Cricetulus griseus: one gene and its partner. The protein of the gene in region 2 purifies or fractionates together with the protein of the main gene of each other region. This does not show direct contact. Links are inferred from orthologs where the notes say so. Each region holds a gene or a part of one and is shown on either strand. Other genes may lie near its edges.

The links. The genes of interacting proteins can lie anywhere in the genome.
Region 1: the proteins of Rheb (region 2) and Rptor purify together in Homo sapiens (affinity purification with western blotting, with the first as the bait; 3 studies listed by BioGRID). This does not show direct contact. The link is inferred for Cricetulus griseus from reciprocal best matches to the Homo sapiens genes RHEB and RPTOR.

What each region holds. Positions count from the first base shown.
Region 1 is NC_048600.1:132,394,716-132,398,367, reverse strand, and holds part of Rptor (regulatory-associated protein of mTOR), read right to left. Parts: intron 3,229-3,652; coding exon 3,122-3,228; intron 1,429-3,121; coding exon 1,301-1,428; intron 711-1,300; coding exon 624-710; intron 1-623. UniProt on the Homo sapiens protein: Component of the mechanistic target of rapamycin complex 1 (mTORC1), an evolutionarily conserved central nutrient sensor that stimulates anabolic reactions and macromolecule biosynthesis to promote cellular biomass generation and growth.
Region 2 is NC_048601.1:97,742,200-97,744,875, reverse strand, and holds part of Rheb (GTP-binding protein Rheb), read right to left. Parts: intron 1,232-2,676; coding exon 1,175-1,231; intron 1,080-1,174; coding exon 1,032-1,079; intron 421-1,031; coding exon 339-420; intron 1-338. UniProt on the Homo sapiens protein: Small GTPase that acts as an allosteric activator of the canonical mTORC1 complex, an evolutionarily conserved central nutrient sensor that stimulates anabolic reactions and macromolecule biosynthesis to promote cellular biomass generation and growth.

The DNA of each region.
Region 1 (3,652 bases), on a different chromosome or scaffold from region 2:
GCCAGGCTGCCTCCTTGCCTAGGCTGGTAGCCTCTGCTTCAAAGTCCATTCCAGGAGTTATGCTTTACTTCATACCATAGATAAGGGGGAAAGAACATTACTCTGAAGGAATGGTGGCTTCACAACAGTAAATTATGCTTTGCTGTCTCTTTAACAGGCAAATAAAGATTCGCTGCTCTCAGCACAGTATTTACTGAGCAGCAGGCCTGAATTTATGTGCAGAGGCTGGCTGGTGATGAGGCAGTCTGCTGGGACAGCCAGCCTGCTTGGGACTGTGCTGCCAGGTGCATCGTGCTTTGCTGCCCCTGCGACTACAGGAGGGACACACCTGCCTCCTCATCTCATTCAGACAGATGGATGCGAGTGCGAATGTACACACACACAAGCACCCCCCCACAACACACCCACAACACACCCACCCACCCACACACACACACACACACACACACACACACACACACACAAACTCTCTGCACTCTGACCTTTCTGGCCAGTCACAGTGTAGAGTCAATTACTGCTCTGAAATGCCATAGTCCCTAGCTGTTTAAATATCAAGGACATATTTAAATGGAGGGGAAACAATGTTTTCACAGCAAACGTCTTGTGCATATGTTGCTCCTTACCTCACACTCACGATGTGGCCCTCAGGGTGCTTCTGCAGGTAGGCCTTTACCACCCACGCTGTGTGCTCTCGGTAAGTCATGACCCGGCTAAAGGAGGAAGGTGCAGTCAGGCTGGGCCCAGCCCAGTCCCTCTTCTCCCATAGCCCATCGGCCAGGGAATTGCAGGGAGGGCGAGGAGGAGCAGGTGTGGCCTGGCGTCTCTGCCCCTGGGCAGAACCTCAGGAGGACACCCAAGTTGGAGCTGCTGGCTAGGCTGTATTAGGCCACTCCCCTTATCTGTCTAGCCTCCAATTCCCTAGTTCTGGCCTTGAAATTTGGATGCTATTTTGGGATGAAGAAGGCCTACTAGACCCGCCTGAGATGGCAGCTTAGTGAGAAGGCCACTCTGTTCCTCTGTCTCTGTGGGGTCAGCTTCAAGAGGTTTTCTCTGAGAGACAGGCCACAGGGCTGTCAGACAACTGGACAGCAGATGAAGATGGAGAATGAAGACACACAAGCCCAGCTATGACCCTACCGAGCATTCTCTGTAGCCCAGGTGCTGCCTTCTCGCCTGAGGTCAGAGCTCCACTGTAAACTGAAGACACTTCACGCTCAGAGGAACCTGGACCCTACACTGACAGTGGAGTGGCCTCTGCCATCTTAAACGGCACTGAGGAGAGGAGAGCTGTGACAGTTACCATTCACTGAGTGCCATCCTCCTGTCGTAGACTCGGATGGAGCCATCGCCCAGGCCAGCCACAATGAGCGAGCGGTGGGAATCACAGGACAGACTTGTCACACAGCTGTCAGCACCGGTGGGAATGTCCTAAGCCCCGGGAAAAAAGAGCCGTGAGGAGGGGCCTCCAGCTGCTGCAGTCTTTTGTGCACATCTATTTCTTTCAGGCCGAGAAACAGGTCTCGACCTACGCGGCTATCGTAGGCTACAGGGCTTCAGGCATGAGGCTGATCTGCTTGCCTGTCTGCCTTGAGCCTGTGCCTGCAGGCCAGGCTGAGCAGAGCCTGTGAGCCCAAGCCTGGGCACAGCCTGGAAAGCAACTGTGGGTATGCCTGGCTCTCAGTGACAATTAACCTTTCCAGCAACATCTCCCTTTCCTGAAAAGAAAGATGAAGCACATTTTGGCAGGGAGGGAGCCTCGTTAGCTCTCTCCTCAAACCCCTAATTAGTCAGGGAAGAGCTGAGGAACTGCTTCTCTGCTCCCCTTGGTGCCATAAATACTGCAGAAGGGCAGGATGGGTGATGAATGGGAGCAAGAAGTAACGGGAGCTGGAGCTGGGTCTCAGGGGGAGAGTGCTCTCTAATCAGATGGGGCAAACGGGGAATTGTGGGGGGTTCTGAATGGGGAAAATTGCTAAAGAGCTAAGCTCCCTTCTTTGCAGCTGACTCGATGACACCCAAGGAAGCGCTGTACCTGCACATAGCCCCCTAGAAACAGGAGCAGCCAAGCACTGTCTTACTCCAATTGTCATGTGGCACCATGGGGTGTGAGGGTGCCATGGTGGCATGCTAGCGGTGTTGATGGACAGACCTCATGCCATGCCAGCTCCTGTCATTCCTGCCTGTCTCTGCCCCTTTGCCCTGCAGATGTCCACAACTGTCCATGTGCCACTCTGGCAGGGCAGGTTGGAGAATGCTGAGGCCAGGCTCTGCTCTGTGGCTCGCTGGGCACTGGGAAAACACATCTCTCAGCTACCTATGTGATGTCCTAAACAGTATCTGTGATTTTGCCCTGGACCCAAAGGAGGTAGGATCAACTGGACTCTGGCAAGGAAGCCCAGGTATCTGAGGCAAAACCTATTATTATGAAAAATTTGGAGCCACACTGGTCTATACAGTAAGATTATGTCTCAAAATCAAGCAATCTTGAAAATGAAAGATGGGCCAGGCAGTGGTGGAGCACGCCTTTAATCCCAGCACTCAGGAGGCAAAGGCAGGTGGATCTCTGTGAGTTCGAGACCAGCCTGGCCTCCAGGACAGCCTCCAAAGCTACAAAGCCACAGAGAAACCCTGTCTCGAAAAACCAAAAAAAAAAAAAAAAGAAAAAGAAAGAAAAAAGTAGGTAAGGGTCCGAGTTTCAGCTTAGTGGTAGCATACACAAGCCCGGCCTTCTGTGTCCAGCACCACAGGGTAAGGAAAGATGCAGACAGTCAAACAATTAACCATTCTCATTTAAGACAGTTCATCCTACTGATTTCTGATAGTTCCTAATTTGCATGGAGAAACAATATTTGGAAATAATTTGGATTAGTACAGGCTTAATTATGCTGAAATGCAGGGTCATTGTGCATCGAGAGGTAATCAGTTTCTCTCCTTGCAGCAAGATGCCATCTCCCCGCCGTCTCCCTGCAGACAGACAGGGCAGACAGTTGGGCAGCAGCCACTGACTGTGCTTGCCTGGAGGCCACAGGTCTTGGTTCTCTTTGATAGGGATGGGCTCTATTTTGTGGAGTGGGAGCATGGGGTGTCTGGTACTACATAGCATGGGGCCCGGAGTCGTTACCTGCACTTTCGTCTCACGGTCAGTGTCCCAGATTCGGACAATGCGCACGTCCCCTGAGCTCATGAGGAGGCCAGTTTCTTGTTCCCAGTCTACCACCATCCCAGCTCCTGCAGAAACACAGTGGGCCACTGTGTCAAACAGTGGCTCAGACAAGACGGGATCCCAGGCATGGCCTCAGTCATGTAAGGCCAGGCTGGTGCAGTAATGTTCAGATGAGCACTGTGCGCAAGTCCTCTGGTAGAGCAGACGCAGGTACCCATGGGATATCACCTCAGCAGAAGCCATGAGGGCAGGAGCTAGTCCATCCCTGGTCCTCAGTGCTGCAGGAGGCTCATGGCCACAGACACCGTGCCTCCTGAGGCATGAGTGAGGGCCAGCCATGACTATCAGCGGATAGTCCCTGAGCATTTCTCGGGAAAGCTGACACCATATGTGGACCCTCTGGGCTTCACTCGTTCCTCACCTCAGTCAGCTGAGACTTCTACAAGGAAACCACAGGCCACTCAAGCTTCCTTTCCCAAAGTTCCCACC
Region 2 (2,676 bases):
AAAATTAGTGCTTAAAATAACCATGCATCTGACTCACTTTCTACTGAAAAGGGACATAGTTGTAATACAGTTAAGTCTCCTTGTGTGTATCTTATTTCTGCTCCAGCCTATGGACACAGACACAGTAGCAATAATATGCTCACAATAAACATGCCCTTCTCTGTAGAATGGTTTTAAGCAGAAGATTATCAATCTTAAAAATATTAGACTCTCAAGGGAACTGGGATTGACATGTAAAAGAAGCTTGTTTCTAATTTAAAAATAAATAAATTAAAAAAATATCAGACTCTTTTGTAACTAACGAGGCTGACACAAAATAAGCTTTACAAACTATATACCTGATTTTCCTTTGCAGAAGATTCCAAAAAAGCTGCGTTCCAAGATTCTGCCAAAGCTTTCCCTTCTTCGTAACTGATCACCCTTAAAAGAAGGAAAAAGAAAGCCTTGACTCTTTGACATGTAGAACAGCTACGATTATTTATCAAGCAGCCCCACTCTGACCCATTCCACCGTGAAGCAGAACTGTGTGCTTTCCTTCTACTGTCAGGAAGTGACAGGAGCTGTAGTCCCGCCTGAGCTGGAACAGAACAGGCAAGTTTCAGGGTCATCTACGTGCCAATGAGCTCTTGCAGTTCAGGGAAGCAACTGCTTTCCAGTACTGCAGCATCAATCACGACAGCCATGCCATAGGAAGAGTTTAAGCAACTCAGGGCCCAGGAAAATCCCACCAGGGCCACCAGCCTAGGCTCCTCCCAATGCTCTGCCCTGAGCTCCCTGCACACGGTGTTCCTGCCCCTGTTCATCACTGTGATCACAACCAGTACACAAAGTACTGTATGGAAACTGAATAATATCTGTCTCAATAACTAACCCCAAGGGAATCTCCCGGTTTGCTCCTCATTGTCAACAAGTGTGGCATTTGTACGGTATATTGTTTCTGTTGTACACAGTGACAAAACTTTGGCCATGAGAAAATAATTTAAAAATGGTATTTTGCTGACTAAATCGCCTTGGACTTAAGAGCTACATACCTTTCCATATGCAGGTCCTTCTTATTTCCAACCAACATAATAGGTATCCTATTAGAAGAGACAAGAGCAGAGGTAAGTCAGGTCCACCATTCCCAGCTCAAGAGATGCTGGTTTGCGGTTCTAGAGAGAGACAGGCTACTTACTGCACTTTCCCCACCATATCCAGCAACTTGCCATGGATAACTTTAATTACTTCAAAACTACAAAACAAAAGCACAGGAGCAGATGTCATTTTAACCACAGATGATACTCAGTGATCCTTAGTGTGACTATACAAAGTAAGACAGGTTCATGCGTCTAGCACTGGGCTGACAAACCACAAGAACATGGACTTGATCCTCAAACTGTATCCATTAAATGGAAATCTGTAGAGCTTTTCGCAGGTAGTGTTCCCTAGTGATCAGCCCTGTTTGCTTTCCTTTCTTGTTTTTGAGGTAGTCTTGATGGAATTTGTTACATAGACCAGGCTTGGCCAGTTCTGTCTGTCTCCCCAGTGCTGGCATTAAAGGCATGTGACCACGGCTGGCTCCCCTCCTTTTCCATGAACCATTATTCACTGGGTGATGCTAACCCTGGATTTTTACTGTCATCGACGTGCTGATGACCCTCAAACATGTCATAATGATTAACTTAAAATCACTGCCACAGTGGGATCATTCACACCTCTGACTACTGACTAATGGGCACAAGCCATTCCTACCCTCACTCAGAAAACGTGGTGTGAGCACCGTCAGAACACACTGCATTACCTTTCAAGCTGCCCAGGACAGGATAGCCTTCCACTCCTCTCTGTGGTCCCTTAGCCTGGCTCTGTGCTTCTTCCCATGGCTGGCTTCCCCCTGGATGACTCTCAAGTCCTAACTTGACTTCCTTTCCTTCTGTCCCTTATCCCCTCTGCTGGGCCTCCAGCACTGCCAGACCATCCCACTGAAATGTTCTCCCCCTTGAGATCCAAGTCTTTACTTTATGGCTCTTTCTTTCCTCAGATTTATTTTTAAGTTATATATATATATATATGTGTGTGTGTGTGTGTGTGTGTGTGTGTGTGTGTGTGTGTGTGTGTTTGTGTGTCTATATGTGTGGGTGTCTGCATAATCTAGAACAGAGCACTGGAACCCCAGGAGCAGGAGTTACAGGCTGCTGTGGGCTACCCAATGTGAGTGTTGGGAACTGTACTTTGCAAGAACAGTGCACGCTCTCTAGCCTTTAATGGCTCTTCTTAGACTTGCTCACCCCACATAAACCCACAAACTCTCACAGCTCTCATTCCCTTCTTAAATTCTCTGTCACAGTACCACTGTCAAGAAACTTAAGACAGCCCAAGCTTTGAACAAAGACTGCTGAACGCAGCATCACACATACTGTTACTGATGAAAATTAAACTTTACTCCATTGAAGTTCACCAACAGGACAGGGCACCCCCATTTCTACAGGCTGTATTTGGATCCACAGTTCCTTTGCCTACACTGAATGAACCCATGAGAAACAGCTGGAAGGCTGGGACTGGGTGAGAGGCAGTGGGGACCAGCTTTCTTTCTAGTAAAGGTACTTTCCTCCTACCTCCTGGTGAGAGCTGGCCTAGTGACTACCTAACAATGAGCAGGGCACAAACATGGTATTTGGTACCATGGAGGCTAGGGCCTAG